Schizosaccharomyces pombe: one gene and its partners. Changing the gene in region 1 together with any one later gene gives a genetic interaction. Each region holds a gene or a part of one and is shown in the gene's direction. Other genes may lie near its edges.

Region 1 (6,111 bases):
AAGAACAAAAAAGCCCACCCCTTCTGCTACACCAGCTGCTCATCCTGATACTGCTAGGGAGAATGAATTAGCCGCTATCCAGACAAAGGGTATATCAGCTGGAAAAACCGAACAGCTTAATCCGCAAAAAGAAACTAGTCGTAGTAAAACTCATACTTCCCGAGGAGAAAATGTAGAGGATCGACCACAATCCTTACTTCAAAATGGCATTCAACCTATCATTATGCGCGATGGGAAACTTGCTTTGAACCCCGAGTTTTTCAAGAATGCAAATGGAGAGCAACAGGCTCCCAACGAGCAAGCCGTTCAAGCAATTTCACTACTCCAACAGCACATTAATAAGCAGCTAGGACCTGCCGCTGCCAACAACCCGGAGCAAGCCACAGCGATTGCGAATGCTCTCGCTGTGGCTTTAGCCCAAAAACTTCAAAAGCAGCAAACGCAAATGCAAGGGCCCCAACAAGTGCAACAACAGGCAAAGCGTCGTAAAGCTTATACTTCACAGCAACTTAATCCGGCGCCGACTGCAATGCCGCACCCTAACATAACATCACCGTCTCCTAGTATCTCAGTCACTCAACGTCCTGCAGTAAACGTTGGACCACCTCCATATGTTAGGCCATCTGCTCCTTCGAAGTTACCAGATACACGCCAGAGTATTGGAGACCCGTTACCCCCAGGAGCAATGGCTAATGTGTCCGCGGGGCCATCGTCAGTTCGATCATCGTCGTACAACTCCACTGCTTCTGAAAGCAAATCAGAGATAACAAGCCATCAAAATCTACACACCATACCAATAAACAAACCATTCACTTCTGATCGGCCTTTATACTCTTCGCCTAATGATACTTTAGAGAGAGTTGAAACAGGCAATCAAGGACAAAGGATGAATTCCATTGGAAATGCATCAAGCTTTAGTAAAAGAGATATAATGGAAAACGAAAATGGATCTTTTGATACTAATGCAAAGAACGGAAACAATGTTGACGACTCATCTTCAGTAAGGGGCATGAATTTACCATCAAACTCAAGCGACGCTTTACGAGGAGTAAAGCGACCGTTGGACGAGACATCATCCTCTTATACCTGAATTTACTAATGCTCATGCACGTAACGTTGTTGATGACTTCTTAATTAATACATTAGTGCCGAAAATTACACTTACCAGCATGCATAAGCTGTTTCATTTTTCTTTTTTTGACAGTGATTGCACAACTTGGTCTTTGGGTGGTTTCTACTTTTATTTCTCATGTGTTTAATGTTTACCTTAGTTAATACTTTACATAATAAATTGCCGTCTGGTTTTATTTCATTTAATAAGCATTTTCGTTTTCTTGTCGAAAAAGTTAATAGCAAAGCAGGAAGGGTATGGAGGATTCGCTTTTGTTATCTGTGAACATTAGCGATTCCTTATTTACGTTTTCATTGAAACCTTTGTTTAGCCAATACAGAAAGCATATTTACTTCAATGATTGTTTTTATAGCACTTTTAATAAGACCAAAACTATTATTGTTGTAATCCTGTCGGGCAAGCTCTCTGATCTGATAGACTTCAAAAGTTACATTGAATTTGTTTTGAAAACAAACAACTCATATTCAGCGATTCTAATTTCTTACTATAGATGTATATTTATCATATCACTTTTCCATAGACCGCTCACTATTCATTTCTTAACTAACTTAACTCACGGATGTACAAGAAGCTTCACAAAATAATATACCGAAACACTGGAAAACGCAAGCTATGTTGCATCGTCAAACATTCTACTCTCTATTTTTTTATGCGCTTCGATAAACCCCATATTATGGAGTCAGGGCATTGCGTAGTACATTTTATGACGTATGAGTGAGCTAATGCAGGCATCCATCCATTTTAGTCCAACGCCTCAGGTAGACTTTAAACATACATCTCAACCGTAACAAACGAAGGTAAATAACTGATTTGTATAGCTGAATTCAGCTCTTTTATTTTGGAAAATTTACCTCTTGTGGTTGATTAAAGTGTCAGGAAAAGCTGAAGCGAACAAAAACCGCGAGATTGTGATTCACTGAGAGTAAGAAACAAAAAACCGCATTTTTTGAAAGAAAGGCACGTAAACTTTAGGAGACATGTCTTTCGAAGAAGTATATGAGGAGCTAAAAGCCCTTGTTGATGAGCAAAATCCTTCAGATGTACTTCAATTTTGCTATGACTTTTTTGGAGAAAAGCTGAAAGCTGAGCGCTCAGTATTTCGTCGAGGTAAGTAGATGCTTCTGGATAGCTATGTTTAGTGGAGAGGAAAAGTAAATGATGGTCAATATGGGTTCTTTTTTGTGGTTTTTTACTTTGTTTTGCTCTATAGTAAGTATTTTCTAAATTTAGTCAGCAAACAGCAATTATGATTCCTGGCTGTTAATAATTCCACAAAGTTGTTTAAGGACCCTGTACCCATTTAATCTCCCACTCTATACTACACAAATTTTACCCTTTTTTGTTTTATCATGTTAACAAATTTCTCTTTTAGGCGACACCATTACAGAGTCTTTTAGCGACGGAGATGAAAGCGATTTCCTGTCTGAGCTCAACGATATGGTTGCTGGCCCCGAGGCAATTGGTCCGGATGCCAAATACGTTCCTGAATTGGGAGGATTAAAAGAAATGAACGTTTCATATCCGCAAAACTACAATCTGTTGCGTCGCCAATCTGTTTCCACTGAGTCGATGAATCCTAGTGCATTTGCACTAGAGACCAAACGAACCTTTCCTCCGAAGGATCCTGAAGATTTGAAAAGACTAAAGCGCTCAGTTGCTGGGAACTTTTTGTTTAAGAATTTGGATGAAGAACATTACAACGAGGTTCTGAACGCTATGACTGAAAAACGGATTGGAGAGGCTGGTGTTGCTGTCATTGTCCAAGGAGCAGTTGGAGATTACTTTTATATTGTGGAGCAAGGTGAATTCGATGTATACAAAAGGCCCGAACTAAATATTACCCCTGAAGAAGTGCTTTCGAGTGGTTATGGTAACTACATAACTACGATTTCTCCCGGTGAATATTTTGGAGAGTTGGCACTCATGTATAATGCTCCACGAGCTGCATCGGTGGTCTCCAAAACACCAAATAATGTAATTTACGCATTAGATCGTACAAGTTTCCGTCGTATCGTATTTGAAAACGCATATCGCCAGAGGATGCTGTATGAAAGCCTCCTTGAAGAAGTTCCCATTCTCTCAAGCCTTGACAAATATCAACGACAAAAAATTGCCGATGCTCTTCAGACAGTCGTGTATCAAGCCGGTAGCATCGTTATTCGACAAGGCGACATTGGTAACCAGTTTTATCTGATAGAGGATGGCGAGGCTGAAGTAGTGAAGAATGGCAAAGGCGTAGTCGTTACCCTAACCAAGGGAGATTACTTTGGTGAACTAGCTTTAATTCACGAAACAGTGAGAAATGCGACGGTACAGGCAAAAACTCGCCTGAAACTTGCTACATTTGATAAACCTACATTTAATAGACTACTTGGTAACGCGATCGATTTGATGCGTAATCAACCTCGTGCCAGGATGGGAATGGATAATGAGTATGGTGACCAATCTCTTCATAGGTCACCTCCATCAACTAAAGCATAAAATTTCTATAATCTGTTTTCTTTGAAACTATCTTTGTAATAATGACCTGTCATGATATGCTAAAGAATTTCCCTGTTGTTTGTTTGCCTTCTAACTTTTTCATATTGGTCATGCATGCATGTGATTGTTTACCATTATCCCTGGAATAATTTACTTATTCATGTTGAACATGTTTTGTTTGGATTACTTATCTAATTCAGCATTATATGTGATAATGTATATATACGTATTATTCTTTTTTATTTCTTTGAAAACCTTTATGTCTTGTTCTAGCATGGCACTGGATATGGTTTGTTAATGTTTTAATTCCAATTATATTCGTGATTACCACTTCACTGTTCTTATTTTGTTTTTTTTTTTCTTTTTGAAATTTCCTTTTTTTTTTATTATTTTTATCTGTCGAATATCGCAGCATTTGATGTTTGGAAGCTTACCGTTTAGTTTGTGTTTTTTTTTTCGTACGGATCATGACAGTTATTTTATCGTTCTCTTCATCCTGTTTTTTTTTGTTTTTTAATCGATATTTGATATCGTCAAATATTTCTATCTATATGGAGAGTTCTTATATTTGTTTTTTGAATAATCACACACTCTTCAAAACAGCAGCTGCATTCAATAATGTACTTGGCATTGGAGTAACGCACATTATACAAGAATTACCGTGGTCCGTAAACACTTGCAAGCATGAAATACTTAGAAAGCTTTAGGCAGACGCTAGACGTGGGGAAAGGGATGAAGTGTTAAAAATTCAAGAGTGTGGATGTTTTGTATGCAAACTGAGTGAGTTCTCGGTTTTTGTAGTTACGTGACATAACTTTAAAAATTTTATGAGAAATTGACTAATATCAAGAATTGAGAATAGTTTTTTAATACAATACACAAAATTTTTACCAAGTTTTGAGTAAAGGGGTGCAAATTAGATGAAACTACAGTCTGCGATAAACGATACGTGTAACTAGGAGAATGCAAATTGTGTAAAAAACTTATAAAACGAATATCTTGTTAGACAAATAAATTCAGCAAAAAGCGAAAGGACTTTTATTCAATTATCAAATCCGTACGAAATGGGATACAAAAAATTTTAAAGAATACTCAATTTCGTACATTCAATGTTCTTGCGAACATAATAAATAAAAAAACGACTACAGTTGCGAACTATGCGTAAGGTTTTCTTAAACAAGAAAAATTTTTTTCCCCATATTCCATACTACATATTTACTGTGAATGTTCTTAGTAGGGTAGGTTATTCACAACAAGCACAACGGGTAGAAATGACAATTACTGCAGAATAAAGTTAAGCACTCGAGATAAATTGTAATATTAAGAAGATGATCAGCGAAGCAATGTTTTGGTAAAGAAATGTTTTGTTTTGTGTCTTACTTTCGTCTGAATTAACTTTGTTTACATATGCATTTTTTCACTCACATAACAGGGTTTCGTATAAATTCTAGTTACGCCAAGATTTACAACTTCTACCAACCACCAAACAAGAACGCAGAGCGTGTAAAAGTAGAACAAAAATTGAGTTGAATATGACCACGAATCCCGATATTGTTAAACAGACGAAAAATGAAATTCACCAAGTAACGTCGAGAGTCCAGGAGAAGCTGGATTCGAAAAGTACCAACGCGGTCGAGCAGAATAACAATTCTTCCCAGGCGTCCGTCACCAAGGATAACAAGAAGAAGGCCGCTAAACGCGCCAAAAAGAAGGCTGCAAAAAAGAAGAAGCAGTCAGCAGCAGCATCTGCCTCTTCCACACCTGTGGAAGAAGCTCAGCACGCGCAAGAGGAACAACAAGAACAAACCATATTACAAGAGCCAGGATTTACACAAACTATAGTGGAGAAAGACGCTGATCAGGTTGACGAGCCTTTGGAACCCATAGCATCCTCAGCTCTGGGTACTGTAGAGCCGCCTACTGACAACAAACCCTCTGCCTCCACGTCAACAGCAGTGCCAACTACGGAAGCACGCAATACAAGTATTACCGAACCCGCCAATTCCCCTTCCTCCTCCTCCTCATCCGCTTCTACAAAGTCTACTGCAACCACACAATCCGCTGATTACGTCGTAGCCGAACATTTCGCACCCCAGCGCAATGACGAGCAACTCGGTAATTCCCCAGCTTCGATTACGTCTAAGCCAGCAACGACATCTGCTGCGCAACCTTCTTCGAAAGTAGAGGAAAACATGGCGAAAGCTACTTCACAACCCATTACTACCGCTGAGAAAGAAATTCCAGAATTGAAGCCCATTGAGCCTGAAGCTATTATGATATCGAAAGAAATAAATACTACGCATGATCAGGCAGCAGCTACGACAACAGCAGCAGTTGCCTCTGCCTCTACTACTGCCACTGCTGAGTCACATGCAGTGGCCGATGGAATTATGAATGATAACGTACTTGAAAGCATTGGTGAAAACGTTCAGCAAGAGACGGTTTTCGAGGATGCGAGCGACATTCCACATGCAGATGTCATCCCCCATACCACCACA
Region 2 (5,561 bases), 490 kb from region 1:
TAGGCTGAATACCTGAAACAACTCTGCTATGTGGAAGGAGAGAAGTGATTTTTGGAAGTTTAGCCATTCTTTATTACTTTTTATTTAATTGGTTTATAAAGTGAACAAATAAATAAAGATAAAGAATAAATGTAATGAAAATAAAAAAAAACAGCTGTGTTATAATCCAACTGATTACAGCTCGCAGACAATTTTTTCAAAAAGGAACAAGGCCGTAGAAACGAATGCTACACTTATGACTAGGTCAGAATGAAAACAAGCAAAATATAGGAGGAATGTTCAATGACACGCAGATAAGACAACAGGATAGAAACTTTTCTTCTCTACCAAAGATAGTTGATAAATGGTATCAAAACGGGATTATTTTTTTGGTAAAATCAAGTAGCTAAAGTTCATAACCATACAATTAAAGCGTTGCAATACCTCAGAAACTGAGAAGATGCCTATAACAAAAAATGGGATAAGAAACCCAAACTATGGGAGGAAAAAAAAGATTAAAGGCGGAAAGTGATATTGTTAGAAAGTATGGAGAAAATCCTACAATGGTGGGTATTTGAATTCTTCATAAAAGAAGGATAGTTTACATGGAGCGAGTCATTGAATGAACTTTAAGCCGTTAAAAATCTACCGAAAATAGCTCGTTTAAGCGTGAGGTTATTTTTTTTTTATTTTTTAACGAATTTGTTACAAGTGTCCAGAAGTTCGTAAAACTTGAAGAGAGCAAGTAAATTTGTATAAACAAACATGTTTTTTAAAGTATAAAAACTTTGTAAATGATATTTAAGTTGGTGTAGAAATTTAATGTAAAAAAATTTTGGATGCTTTTTGTGTACGATAGATCGACTAAAAAAACATACAAGAATGCGCAGGTCATGCCATTCTTTTTTTTTCCATTAATTTATTCCATATTGACTCGCCATCCCCACTTTGCGGTAAATAAGCGCTGCAAAGTTTCTCGTTGATTTTTACTTTCCTCCCTCTACCACTCCTAAGAAGAAAAAGGAAATTTTTTGACTAAATAGTCATGATTTCAGCAATATTCTACTTGTGTTAGTGATGTTTTAGCAGTAGACAATGATTTTCAAAAAGCTCGAAAATACGGGTTTTCCGCAATACCCGCTACTATTTTGGTAGAAAAACAAGTCATTGTTAGTTCGTCGTTTTAAAAACGCTATCGTGAAAATGAAGATTCTTTTGAAAAGATAAAAGTCTTTTAAATCCGCAGAAAAAAGAAAAAAGAAATTAAACAGAAGAAGCTTGTATGGACTTTACTTCGGCTATTTGCATTCATTCTTCACCTCCTTATGATTGGTGTGTGTAAGCATGCAAGCGACTGCTTTGGTTTAGGTGCAATGAAATTCACTATTTCATTTAACGTTTCAATGGTTCAAGACTTCGCAACGACGAATAGGATCATGGATTGATATCGTAAATAACAATTAACAAGCCCGAAGGAGGTGGAAAGAAAAGCAATTTGATGTAAAATTAAGCTAGCGAAGAATTAAGAATGTAATCAAGCGCCCCACTGCAGTGCCGTGATTATCCTTGTCTTTTAAACACCGAAGTTTAAAATCCTTGCGCTTAACAAGCGATAGTGATCGACGGTGGAAACATTTTTTTTACGACCTCGAGGAGTTGGCGCTTTCTTTGCCCATAAGCATCTTCTTGTCTTCACCACACTTGAGCATTTCCGACTAGCCAAGGCTGGTCAATTTGCCCCTCAAATATTTTCTGAGGATTTAATAGTTACGACGTATAGAGGGTGCTTTTTAATTTTTGGTATCTTAAAAAAGGTTTGTATAGTACCGGTTGGATGTTGGCAAGTAGATAATTTTTTGTGGTAAATTTTTGCACTTCCGATAAACGTTCTGTCAGGCACAGGATTATGAATCCATCTGATTTACCAGGTCAAATACCTCTGTCTAGATCAGATATGAATGTCCAAGATCAATTGGACCCGGTTCAACGCTTTGATACTCATTTTATGCTTCCCCAGGAGGAGAATTTTTTGAATCGCCCCTCCATAACCTCCGAATCTGCACATCCACGAGGAAGTGATTTAGAGCAAGAGACAGAACTAAAAAGACTTGCGTTGGAACATGAACATTACTCTTTAGAGTCGCTAGCGGAAAAGCTGCGAATGGACCACGTAAGTGCCAATTCGGAAAAATTTCGCCAGGTTTTTGGCATATGTTGGTTAAAGCGTGCTTGTGAAGAACAACAAGATGCTGCTGTCCAACGAAATCAAATATACGCTCATTACGTCGAAATCTGTAACTCTTTGCATATCAAACCTCTAAATTCCGCTTCGTTTGGAAAACTGGTTCGTTTGCTCTTTCCTTCCATCAAAACCCGACGTTTAGGCATGCGTGGCCACTCAAAATACCATTATTGTGGTATTAAACTGCGTGGTCAAGACTCTTTTCGCAGACTACGTACCTTTTCAGATTCAAGTCTTTCCCCCGTTTCCTGTTCTTCGTTTCCCAAACCTATTCCCAATCATTTTGAAAACGATGTTTCTTCTATTCAAAACACAAATCAGCGTGTAGAAAGCAGCCCTGCATCGGTTAATGCTGCGGCTATAGTTAGAAAATCCGCTGTCACCCCTTCATCAGATCCTTACAATTCGCCTCCTCCTTCTATACCTTTGCTAGGAAGTCAAACCAATTTGCAATTGGCTCCTTCTTTTGCTGCTCCACAAGCCCATCCCCTACCTTCACATCTTTCACAATCCAATGTTCCGCCACAACTTTCTCATTCTTCGGTACCTTCACCTGCACCACCCCGTTCTGTGTCCCAACCGACCTATTTTTCTCAACCCATGCCTCAGTTTTCTTCTTCGTTTGTACCCGGTACTTCTTCGATAGTACCTACCTTGCATCCTGCTTCTGCACAAGAAGATTTTAATCTTCAACATTCCCTATTCTTCAAACTTAAACTTAAATTCTTGCCTCCTCATAAGCTTCCTTGGATCCCATCATTAGACGTGTCTTCATTTTCCTTACCTCCTATTGACTATTATTTAAATGGTCCATACGATAATGTCGAGGCGAAATCTGCATTAATGAACATTTATTCTTCGCATTGCATTACTCTAATTGAATCAGTCCGGTATATGCATCTCAAGCAATTTCTGTCCGAGATCTCTAACTTTCCCAATTCCCTCTCTCCTTCTCTTTTAGCTTTGCTGTCCTCTCCTTATTTCACGAAATGGATTGAGCGTTCTGATACCGTTATGTACAGGGAAATACTGAAGTTGCTATTCCCTATGACTCTTCAAGTGGTACCTCCGCCAGTCTTGGTGCTACTGCGTCATTTAGCTGAGAATCTCGTTAATCACATATCCAGCATATACGCTTCTCATTCATCTTGTCTTCTCCAAGTCAAATCTGAGACTGCCGCAATCTTTAGTAACTTATTGTCTCGTCTTTTGCGTGTCAACGATACGGCTCATGCTGCTGCTAGGTTCCTTGCCAACCCTGCCGACAGGCATTTAATTTGTAACGACTGGGAACGATTTGTCAGTACAAGATTTATTGTACATAGAGAATTAATGTGCAATGACAAAGAAGCAGTAGCCGCGTTGGATGAGTGGTATTCTATCCTTTCAACCTGTTCAAATCCTTCTGAGCTTTTAGACCCTTTGAAGGACAAACATGAAGCCAGTGATACATCAATGAACAGGGTCGAACTTCGACAAATTGATGGTGTTTTAGATCGTATGGCAGATTTTTTTCTGGAGTTGCCTTCCAGATTTCCCTCCTGCTCTCCTAGAATGTTTCTTCTATGCCTAGGCGCTTTACAAACTAGTGTGCTTCGTGAAATCACGGTCAGTGGAGGTGAAGCATTTGGGGCTCTTTGGGTAATTAGATGTTGGGTCGATGAATACATGACTTGGGTGGCAGAGATTGGCGGATACCTCGATGATAGTTATGATGAGCTGGAACAGCATCATGCTAACTTTCATAATAAAGCTGGAATATCTCAGAGTAATATCCCTCCTCATTTACAGGAGCACCGTCAATCCCAGCAACACTTCCAACAAGACATCGAAGCTTTGCAATCACAACAACAACAACAAGCCACTAAAAATTCCTTGATGGAAGCTGCCTACCAGAATGCTCAGAAGCAAAAGGAAGACGACTATATATCCATTGTATTTGATACAAATGGTGCTTGTAGTTGATGTACAATATAGTTGACCCTTTTTAGGGCTTCGAAAAAGCAAGCGTAATTACACTGACAAAAGTTAATATCATTCATATTATTGTTTTTGTTTTTTAATATATGTTTCTTTTGTTCAGGAGGTCTATTTGTTTAAGTCTGTGAACTTTTGAAATGCAATTAGATTACTATAATCCTGGCGCTTGTTTCTTATGGGTGAACGTCCATACATATACCAAATTGAAAGTGACTATACTTTATATTTGTTTTTTATTTCTTTTAAAATTTCACTGTCAGTAAATAGAGTTTCAACATTTTTGTCTTTAATTTTGATATCGACTATCACATATGTATTGATTAATATAAATGTTCTCCGATAACTATTTTATAAAACCTATTTAAACTATTGAGTGTAATTATTGCATTTCTCTGGCAGTAACAAGAATATTAAGCCCATACAAATGAGGAAATTGGCATCGATATCATTCAACAAGAATAGCGAACCCCCAAAAAAACAGCATCATACTAAAAGCGAACTTTCTACGAGAAACTTCGTGTTTAAAAAACAAGACTTCAAATAAAATGTTTAAATATTCCCCTTAAAGACCATATATTAAATTAAAAAAACGACAAAATAACTTAAACAACGGAAAATGGAAACATCAACCACTATTTCAAGTAAGAAGGTTTTCGGCGCTGCTGAAGTTTTTTATATTGCCCCTTCCGTCCACTCATTTTCGATTTTTGTAATTCTAGATATTTTTTCTTGAAGTACGATCGTCTTTCTGAATCGTGCAATAATTCGTCAACAATTGTCTCTTTGCGCTCTCGAGTGGGGATACGACTAGAGTAAAAGTCCTGAGGACCTTCAACGATGGAACCCACCTGAAAGTATTTGGGCATAGATTTCGTGTTTTCCCTTCGGTAATGCCGTTTCGGATCTAGTGCATTTCTCATCTTCAATAGCTGAATGTCGCGTTTCACCGATTCTGTGAGCTCGGTGGCAGGCATGTCAAACCAATTCGATCCAGCAGTGTCTTTAATATTTTTCTTCTTCTTTGATATACCAGGGGCTGAAACATGACTTTCATAAATAGGTACTGTTGGCTCGAACGACGCATCATTAATATATGACTCGCTATTCTCCACTAATTCATCTTTTTTCAATCCCATAACGAATTTCTTTTCAAAATATGAAGGCAATTCAAAAGAAGAGCTGATTATTTTGGGAATTTTGGTGAGCAACTTTTGTTGGCCATGCTTATCATCGTCAGACGCTTGCTTTTCTTGTAATGTGGATTTTGCAGATTCTAGTAGCTTTGAGATTGTTGCTAAATCTACAGAGAGCCCAATCTCAGTCATTGTTAAAAATAAACGGATTTAGGCAAAAGCGTTGT
Region 3 (5,416 bases), 1.5 Mb from region 1:
TACGTACTCACACACCCTTCCTCTGCGCTCCTCTTCACTCCACTGCGTTATAGCCACAGCGTCGCATTTTTGTGTTAACTCACTTAAGCTTTTATCCCCATTGTTCCTGTGTTTTTCCTCTTTAACGCCATTGCGCCTAAGCTTTTTTAGCGCACACGTTATTCCTGCTTAAACTCGTTTCTCTTCATCCATTCGTCCTTCTGGATCTCGTTGCGCTCCCTTTCATTGGTTGCTTGTTCGATCCGAGGGTTGGTTAATTTGATAGCCTACTTGTACTCAATTGTTACTTTGTCTGGTTGATCTATTTGATCTGTTACTTGTCGTTGGCTTTTTTTTTTTTCTTTCTTACCCGGGGGACTATTAAGTGATATCATTGTTTGGTGCTCCAAGATATACCTATTTCTACTTCTTCTTCTCTTTCTACATATCGCTCGCTCGTCCTCTCCCTTCCTCCTCTTAACCCTTTACTTGCTCCCAATCCTTTTTATCTTTTGGGTTTCCTGTTTAAACGTTGGGTAAAGTATAAGATTGGATCTTATTTTCATCGTCGTTTTGTTGGATCGTATGAAAAATTTTACCTTGGTTCGTCGCTCAGTCCTTGCTCTGATCGTTTGGTAAAAATCAAAAATCGTTAGACTTGATTTCGTTGACGTTTAGTGCGTTTAATTCTCTTTCTTAGATTTTTTCCTCCATCCTTCATCTCGTCAACAGTTCTCTCTGTTGTCTCTCCACCGCTATACGTAGCTTTTAAAAGTCGTTTGTTTCATTACCTGCGCCCATCTTTTCTTTTCTAAACTTTAACTCAAAGTGAATAAATAGGAAGAACTAGTCTTTTTTCCTTCCATAAAAGAGCACCAGATATATCGTTGAATCGCCGTGCTTTTTCTATTTGCTTCATTTTTTTATCCCGTACGATGCAAAATAGTTAATTTCTTCAACTTTTCTCAACTTTTGTTTCACCACTTCTTTCTCTCAATTGGGTTAGATTTTTCTCCTTTTACATTTTTTTTATACCTCCCTCTTTTTTTTTCTTGTTTCCTTTTCGTTGATATTTTCATATTTTCGGAATTCTCCTTTTCTAGTTATCCTATTTCTCGTTTCATCATTTTCTTTGTCTTTTCTCAAAAAGGTGTACTCTTGGGTTTCTTTCCACAGTGTAGTATCGCTTTTTTTGAACCTTTGAAGAGCTCATATATTCCTTTCCCTTGAGTTTTTCGGATTAAGTTTTGAATTTTTTTCCCATTTTCTTCATTGCTTTACCGTTTGTTTTCACTTCACTTTGGGGTCTTGGTGGTTACTTGTCTATTGTTTTTTTTGTGGGGTTCTGCATTCTGAATAGTTCTGTTTCTTTTTTTCTGAACTCATCTGTCTAAGTATTCACCATTCATTTGGTTTATTTACAGACGTGTGCTCTGTAATTTTCATCCTTAGTTGACCTTACGTTTTTGCTAGTTTGTTGCATCAACGTGCTTTTGGTTCCCCCCTTTAGCTTTGAATACGCTTCTGACTTTTAAATTGGGTTTTCTGTTTTGTAGGAAAATTATTCCATTGTCATTACATTTCAATTAGCCTCTACCTCTTTTCGTTCCTCGATCTCCTACTTGTATACTTTTCTGCACTTTGACAAACTGCAACTTATAATATTTCTTATACCCTCTATCTTATATTTTTGTTCAGTCTGGTTACTGTTTTCGTGCGTGTGCCCTACCTTTTTGCATTTTCTACTAAATACGAAATAATTTCTTAAATAGTGTTGCTTTTTGCAATCTTGCACTGTGCACTCACAAGCAGTATTTTTATTTTCCTCTTAAAATCGCTTGACCTTTGAAGTGACGATTCATTAATCCGTTAATTTTTAAGGATTCCCCCTTTTTATTCTCATATTTGCATAGTACTGATTCAAACCCATTCTTTGAATTGGATACTCCTCATCCCCTCTAAAACTCTTCCATCTTTATTTTCTGCAGAAAGTTTGAATTGAAAAACTTTTTTCATCTCAGACTTGATTTGAATCTTCTCTTGTTTCCTTCTATATTTTACTAATTTTATTGCCAAATTTTGCGTTAATTCTTTCCTTTTTAGAACCCTGGATTTTCCGTAATTTTGATATTTCCTATCCATTCATTATTTTGCTTTCGGCCTTCAAAACTTGTGCTATCCAATATTTGTATTTTATTTAAGAAGTCTGAATTTTTTTTTACTTTTTTACTTTTTTTTTTAATCATCTCTGCTTCTTTTTTAAGGCCAAATATTCTTAATACAAAACATTCATCTAAAAAACCACGATGAATTTTTCAAACGGTTCAAAATCGTCTACTTTTACAATTGCTCCTTCGGGTTCATGTATTGCTTTACCTCCTCAGCGGGGTGTAGCAACGAGTAAGTATGCTGTTCATGCTTCTTGCCTCCAAGAATATCTCGACAAGGAAGCTTGGAAGGATGACACATTGATCATCGACCTTCGTCCCGTATCCGAGTTTTCCAAATCTAGAATTAAGGGCTCCGTCAATCTTTCTTTACCTGCAACCTTAATTAAGCGTCCTGCCTTTTCGGTCGCGCGTATCATCAGCAATCTTCACGACGTCGACGACAAGAGAGATTTTCAAAACTGGCAAGAGTTTTCATCCATTCTTGTTTGTGTTCCTGCTTGGATTGCTAACTACGTAACGAACGCTGAGGTAATTGGTGAAAAATTTAGAAAAGAATCCTATTCTGGTGACTTCGGTATTTTAGATTTAGACTATTCGAAAGTCTCGGGCAAGTATCCATCTGTGATTGACAACTCTCCTGTAAAAAGTAAATTAGGTGCTTTGCCTAGCGCTCGCCCCAGATTGTCTTACTCTGCTGCTCAAACTGCTCCTATCTCTTTGTCCAGCGAAGGCTCCGATTACTTCTCTCGTCCTCCTCCCACTCCTAATGTTGCCGGTTTGTCTTTAAATAACTTTTTCTGTCCTCTACCTGAGAACAAGGACAACAAATCTTCTCCATTTGGCAGTGCTACAGTCCAGACACCCTGCTTACACAGTGTGCCCGATGCTTTTACCAATCCAGATGTTGCGACCCTCTACCAGAAGTTCTTGCGCCTGCAATCATTGGAGCATCAACGTCTAGTTTCTTGTTCGGATCGTAATTCTCAGTGGAGTACCGTTGATTCATTGAGTAATACATCGTATAAGAAAAACAGATATACCGACATTGTTCCTTACAATTGTACTCGTGTGCATTTGAAAAGAACTAGCCCTTCAGAGCTCGATTATATCAATGCTTCCTTTATCAAAACTGAAACTTCAAATTACATCGCTTGCCAAGGTTCTATTTCTCGTTCTATTAGCGATTTCTGGCACATGGTATGGGACAATGTGGAGAATATAGGCACTATTGTTATGCTTGGTTCATTGTTCGAGGCTGGCCGCGAAATGTGTACTGCATATTGGCCAAGTAATGGTATTGGAGATAAACAAGTGTATGGAGATTACTGTGTCAAACAAATTTCGGAGGAAAATGTCGATAATTCTCGATTCATTTTGCGAAAGTTTGAAATTCAGAATGCCAATTTTCCTTCAGTTAAAAAAGTACATCACTATCAATATCCTAATTGGTCTGATTGTAATTCTCCTGAAAACGTGAAATCTATGGTTGAGTTCTTAAAATATGTGAACAACTCTCACGGATCAGGAAATACTATTGTGCACTGCTCTGCCGGTGTTGGTCGGACAGGAACCTTTATTGTACTAGATACGATCCTACGCTTCCCAGAAAGCAAACTTTCTGGTTTCAATCCTTCTGTCGCCGATTCTTCAGACGTCGTTTTCCAGTTGGTTGATCATATCCGAAAGCAGCGGATGAAGATGGTTCAAACCTTCACACAATTTAAATATGTGTATGACTTGATCGATTCTTTGCAAAAATCTCAAGTTCATTTCCCGGTTTTAACATGAAATTTTTGACTGGATTTTTCTTGGCAATATATATTCGTGTTTTAATCGATTCCTTTATTTCTTGTACTTGTAAAGTGTCTTTTTTTTTACATTTGCATTTGAATTTACTGTCAATGTTTGTGAAATTCAGTTGCTTTAATCACGTTGTCTTTTATTTCAAAAAGTATATTTGAGAACTAGGCTTTTTAATGATATCTTTTTTTCTCTTAAATTTTCTTTTTAGAACTTTGTAAACCTATTTTTTGTACAAGATAAAGTCATCAAACTGATAATAACCTTGTATTATTTTCAGATGCTTTTTAAAATTTATTACTCGATTTCTTTAGGCAGAAATATAGAGTTTAAGCGAAGTGGTCGTGATCAAGAGCAATAGAATTCTTTCTTCACTGATTAAAGGTGAGACGATTCATTAAATATACATTCATTTGAACTATCGTTTGTATGTTTTTAAGTAAGACAAACTTGCAGGAACAAAGATTTTTTATAATACACATTAAACGTAACTCAATATAAATAAATTATTATGGCAATCATTAGGATGCAGATATTCCAATAGTACCTAGAATGCTTTTATATTCACTTTGTCTTTATGCGGTTCATAAGCTGACTCCATTTTTGTAAAGCCATCATATGGTCCTCGTCTAAAACGGCCAAGTTAACTTTAGTTTCAGCAAGCTGCTTTTCTTTTCTAAAGATTTCATCTTCGAGAGACTGACTTTCAACCATAATTTCTAAATTCTCAGCAATGATTGCTTCCATATCTCCTTGAAATGCCTGCTCTATTTCTGACTTTTGCTTAGCAAGTTGACTATTTAAGGATGCAATTTCGGATTTTAATGATGCTTGTTCAACAGTTTGATTTTTTAGATACATTTTTTCTTTCAGTAGTAGAGCGGACATGTTCTCATGTTCAACTTGCAAATTTGCCATTGAATCTGACAACATGATAAAATGCTCATTTAAAGATTTGTGCCTATTACGCATTTCTTCAAGAGAAGAGTCTAGCTCATGCTCCGATTTAAGTAAAATGTCATATTCATTTCCGTATCGATCCAAGACATCCGGCTGAATTTCGAAAGAGAAAGCAGTTTTTACAAACAAAGATGTATCATAATTCTCGCCTTCTTGAGTCTCCTTAAAGGCCAAAAAAATGTCTTCCTTAAGGTAACTAATCAGCCTATCCATATTGAGTTTCAGCAGGCTCTCTTGACTGTGACTTAGCAACGCAAGCCCAAAATTGAAGAGTATACCTGGACCATACAGAAATAAAATATCATACAGATGAGCAACGACTTCTAAAGGAAATTTATAGGCAAACAAGGTTAAAAACCATTCTGAAGCATACGAACATGTTTTGATGTCTTGACGCTTAAAATGAATTGCCAGAGATGGCATATAATCTTCCACCAGACGCGTGAATTGGTGTAAAACACGACTTAATCCTCTCATTTCTGAAGAAAAAATATTTTGCAAATGAT
Region 4 (4,646 bases), on another chromosome or scaffold:
AACTTGATAAATCATAAGCTTGTTTAAGTTGAAGTTTTAGTAGGTAAAGGAAAGTTGAAAGAAATGTAAAATGAAATGTTTTCTTAAACATAAAAAATAACCAGTTGATCGGAACCAATTTGAGTTTGTAGCGAAATACCATGTTTTTGAGTTGCAAACGCATAAAAACTTGACGGTGTGGATCGAATTTAGCGAATTAAAATCATGTACTTCATAACAATAATAATAGTTTAACAATAGGAGAAAGAGCTGAACAATTATAAATAAATTTATGCAGTACATACAGATGAATCTGATGTTTCTAGATCCGGTACATTTGCACTCGAAATGTTTATCACATAACGAACAATATCGATTATTCAATACAGTCTGTTATTAAACTATAACGATACGTTGTAATTGCGTTGATGTTTCACCCAAAATCAAATAGTGTAAAATCATATACTTGCGGATCTATGTTTACAGAAACACTGTTTTGTTTCAATATATTTCACAATTCCTTCAGTGCAACGCAGTGTAGTCTGCTATTCTGTTGCCTCAAAGTCCAAAGTTTCCATATGGCGCAAAGTATAAAGGTACTGCTGTAACATAAGGGTCTTGACTCACCGAGCCTCGGTCTCTAGATGTGCTAGATGTCCTATGATACGGTGGGTAGTTTGTAAAGATGCGTGGCGTAGTGACAACATACGAGGTGCATCGAATTCAGCAACATTCCATCCCTCGTAACTATATAAAGTGCATGGTATTGCGTATGCAGAGCTGAAAATCAACTTTTAACCAACCTTTCGAAATTTGAAATCATGCCTCATATGGAAGACAACGGTAGTGAAAAGGAACAGCTGTTTCTGCAACACATTCAAAATCTGCCTCAAGAGCGCTTGGATGCGATTCGCGGGCATCCTGAGTTGGTTCTTAAGGAAATCGATGAATTCACGTATCCAGACGGATCTGGAGTGAGAATGTGTATAGGAGATGTTAAAGGTGGATTTATCGTTGGGAAAATTCGTGAACGGAAGCCGAAAATCATGGTTGAGTTAGGCGGCTATTTGGGCTACTCAGCTATTTTGTTTGGAAATGAAATCTCCAAAATTCCTGGTGGTCGTTATTACAGCTTGGAAGTGAATGAGGATTATGCCAAGATTGCTTACGAGTTGGTTAAGTTGGCCGGTCTGGATGAAATAGTCACCATCATGATTGGCAAGGCTTGCGACAGTTTGGTCGAACTGCAACAGAAATTATTGCATAAAGACCTTGGTTTTCAAGCTTTGGACATGGTATTTATCGACCACTGGAAGGACCTTTATGTGCCTGACTTGAGGGTTATTGAATCACTTAATATGATTGCTCCGGGAACCCTTCTAGTGGCCGATAATATTATAACACCTGGTGCTCCTGAATATCATAAATATGTTAATATGAGTCCTGAAGAACGTAGAGGATATCAAGCCAAGGTTCGCAATGTCAATGGATTCGATTTCATCGGCAGATGGGATTTGATATATAAGACTGAAACTAAAGAATTTGAGGGTGTCATTCGCAATAAACACCGCAAAGACGCTGTCGACGTTACGGAGTGTGTTGGCTATGCTAAAAAAGATTAGGTACCAAAGGCATTCCCTAATCTTTTTATAATTGACTTTATGTGGTATCTGATACCTTTTACGATCTTTTGAAGCCCAGTTTATACAGCATACAATCGTGTCTGGGATCCCATTCTTTGCTCGTCCAGATATTGTTTGCTAATGTTATAAATTATAGTTGACAATGAATTGATTTCTCTTTTAATCCCGTTGCTTGATTCTAAAAACGATGTGTAAAATGTCAAGTATAGTATAGTAATTTAAGTTTCCTGTTCACTATTACATTTGGAATGTGCCCATTCTGTTAGATGAACGCATGATCGTCAATAGAGAAGTACTAAAGAAATCGTTAACTTGCATACTATAAATGTGCACTGCTAATTACTCTACTCGCAAATACGAAGAACACCTAGCTGGATATATCTACCTTTCATGCAATGATTGAGCGAGCACGAAAGCAAAGTGGTAAGCTTGCATTGTGGAATGTAGCAATCTCTAAAAACACATTACTGTAATACTGTTTTTTGCGTTATTCAATTCAATGTTGTTTAGCCTGAGTTATTTTTTAAGGAAATCTAACGAATGATATCGAAACTTAACACGAGTTTGATTTGTTTACGCTGCTCTCTAAATGAAAAGCGTGTCGCGCCGCGTAGCATGCCACTTCGCAAGCATTAAAAGCTGGAAATGAAGAGTAGAAAATATAATAGTAGTAGTTCATTTGAAAACATAAAATATACTTGTTTCTTACTTCTCATTTGGTCTTTACTATCATTTTCTAAATTTTGCATTTTCACTTTCTGTACTGTGATTGTATACAAAAAAATAATCTTTTATTTGTTTAATAGTTTTTTTTGTTTCATTTGCAAATATCAAATACTTTACACGAAATTGAAAAACCTCCGTGAGCCATGGGTTTGAAAGAAATGTGCTGCGTTAGTATAAGTATGAGTGCTTAGTCGCTCATTTCTGCATCCATTTTCTTATCCTCTTATTCTTTCTATTATCTAATTCACATCAAACTATATTCTACTTTTACAATCACTTTCTACTTCTAACAATGAGCTCTCAAAACACCTCCAACAGCCGTCACCCAGCAAGCAGCGCTTCTGCTTTACCAAATCGCACCAATACGGCAAGACGCTCAACTTCTCCCAGAACTAGTACTGGAAGCTCCAGTACTAACACTAACACCAAAACTGTTGACCATGCCGGTACCACTTTCATCAGCTCTACAAGCAAACGCGGCCGTTCTACCAAAGCTGGATCGGTACATAGCGTTCCCATGAAACGCACTAAACGTGTTCGCCGAACCCCTGCACAACGCATTGAACATGAAAATAAAGAAAATATTCAGACTGAAAAGGTTTATAGGATTAAGCCTGTCCAAAGAGTTCTTTCTCCCTCAGACCTCACTAACGAACTAACCATCCTGGACCTATTTCATGTTCCTCGACCTAACGAGACTTTTGACATCACCGACCGTGTAAACAACACCTCTCGCTAAGCAACTGCTTAAATTAGCTTAATTTTCTTCGATCCTGAATGACTAATGCCGAAGGGGAATATGAACACCACATAAAAATTGAAAGAAATTCTCTTTCGAGCATTAATTTTTATTAATTAAACCGCTGTTATAGGAAATTTTCATCCTAACTATACAGCTATTATATTTGAACTTGCATACTTATTTTCATGTTTTCCATTTTTACAACAAAAAAGAAAAAAAATTAAAACAAATTTAGTCCTTTCATTCATTCCCCAGTGCTTTCAGACGCTTTTTATAACAATTCTCCCTTGAGTTTCATTTCTGTTCATAGTCTCATTATTCTTTATTGTGTGTTGACTTCTTTTATTTTTAAACAAAGGTTCATTTTTATTGTCGTTCTCTTTTTTTTTTGAAATTCTGCTACTTTCTCTTGGAATCCCCATCAACGTGTTACCGAATTTGATTCATCATTATTCATACATCTTCCATTTTTGTTGGACATTCGCTGTCTCCAGTTTTTACTTTATCTTCCCATTTTAATAATGTGAGTCTTTACATTCATGGGATTTCCACGTCGATTCTTTTTTATTGCTTAATGGAAACGATTCTGACCGGACATCGTAATTAAATCTCTAACAAAGGCTACCTAATTTATACTTCCTCATCCGTTTACTATTTTTTGCTTTAATATACGTTAAGCAATAGAACAATTTACCATAGCATATTAACAAATCTAATACACTGTCATTCGTTCCCTATTAATCATATTTTTGCTTTGTAATTTATTTTTTTTATTATGGAATTAAAATATAAACGGTATGAAAGTCGTAAAAAGAAAAACACTAAAAATAAACAAAAGTCAAGAGACATGCGTATTTAATAGTACGCATCGATAATCATAAAGAATATGCAACAATGTTTGGATATCGAATTCATACACATAAATGAGGTGTCTCAATCTATGAAGAAGCAGCTATGCCGCGGTGTTGCTTTATAAGCATAAAGCATAGTCGAGAAAAAGACAAAAGACCAAAGGAGTAAACATGAACAAGGGAAATGCATTCGCGATATACGGAAATTTCTACTTGGAAATTTCAAAATAAAAAACAACTGCGCACCAACGATAACAAACACAGGTGCTAGTTCAACCACACAGAAAGTTTTACTTATATAAAGGAAGAAAAAAAGCATAGAAAAAGGAAAGAAACGAACTCGCATTTAAAAAATGGAATTGACGAGATCAGCGCCAGCAGTTGCACCAGCACCGAATACAAATGCAGAACCCAAACCACTACCAATCTTCTTGAATGTTGATGAGTGCTTGTGCTCGGTCGGTTGTGCAACCACGATGGGTTGTTGAGGCGCCTGAGGATAGGCTTGGACAGGTGGATATGGTGCTTGCTGAGGTGGATATGCTGTTTGCTGATACTGCATGGGAGGTGCCGAAGAAGATGCTGCTGGGGGATAGTTTTGCTGTGGTGGAGGAGGAGGAGGTTGAGCTTTAACGGCAGAATCTTCCAACAAACGCACATAGTTAGAAGGGAAGATTCCTTCCTTTCCATTCAATTCACCACGCC

Evidence for each region.
Region 2: of cgs1 (region 1) and sak1, changing one suppresses a phenotype caused by changing the other (phenotypic suppression), as found in Schizosaccharomyces pombe (one study listed by BioGRID).
Region 3: of cgs1 (region 1) and pyp1, a mutation in one rescues a mutant of the other (synthetic rescue), as found in Schizosaccharomyces pombe (one study listed by BioGRID).
Region 4: of cgs1 (region 1) and mei3, changing one enhances a phenotype caused by changing the other (phenotypic enhancement), as found in Schizosaccharomyces pombe (one study listed by BioGRID).

What each region holds. Positions count from the first base shown.
Region 1 is NC_003424.3:3,641,130-3,647,240, forward strand, and holds cgs1 (cAMP-dependent protein kinase regulatory subunit Cgs1), read left to right. Parts: upstream 1-1,899; 5' UTR 1,900-2,109; coding exon 2,110-2,239; exon of another isoform or gene 2,240-2,504; coding exon 2,505-3,613; 3' UTR 3,614-4,507; downstream 4,508-6,111. Other genes in the region: DNA-binding forkhead transcription factor for ribosomal proteins Fhl1, read left to right, coding at 1-1,090; SPOM_SPAC1142.09 (uncharacterized protein), read left to right, coding at 1,369-1,716; SPOM_SPAC8C9.04 (uncharacterized protein), read left to right, coding at 5,146-6,111.
Region 2 is NC_003424.3:3,145,832-3,151,392, reverse strand, and holds sak1 (DNA-binding transcription factor Sak1), read left to right. Parts: upstream 1-1,673; 5' UTR 1,674-1,885; coding exon 1,886-4,186; 3' UTR 4,187-4,445; downstream 4,446-5,561. Other genes in the region: tryptophan--tRNA (Trp) ligase Msw1, read right to left, coding at 1-67; rRNA processing protein Fcf2, read right to left, coding at 4,834-5,526. UniProt on the Schizosaccharomyces pombe protein: Positively regulates cyclic AMP-dependent protein kinase-mediated exit from the mitotic cell cycle.
Region 3 is NC_003424.3:5,159,227-5,164,642, forward strand, and holds pyp1 (protein tyrosine phosphatase Pyp1), read left to right. Parts: upstream 1-2,285; coding exon 2,286-3,938; 3' UTR 3,939-4,134; downstream 4,135-5,416. Other genes in the region: GTPase-activating protein Gyp51, read right to left, coding at 4,515-5,416. UniProt on the Schizosaccharomyces pombe protein: Plays a role in inhibiting the onset of mitosis. Dephosphorylates sty1/spc1 and wis1/spc2/sty2.
Region 4 is NC_003423.3:717,166-721,811, forward strand, and holds mei3 (protein Mei3), read left to right. Parts: upstream 1-2,553; 5' UTR 2,554-2,640; coding exon 2,641-3,087; 3' UTR 3,088-3,825; downstream 3,826-4,646. Other genes in the region: cmt1 (catechol O-methyltransferase 1), read left to right, coding at 801-1,601; lsb1 (SH3 domain-containing protein), read right to left, coding at 4,288-4,646. UniProt on the Schizosaccharomyces pombe protein: Acts as a critical meiotic inducer by binding non-covalently to protein kinase ran1/pat1 inhibiting its enzymatic activity. Inhibits ran1/pat1 by acting as a pseudosubstrate for ran1/pat1 instead of its natural substrate ste11.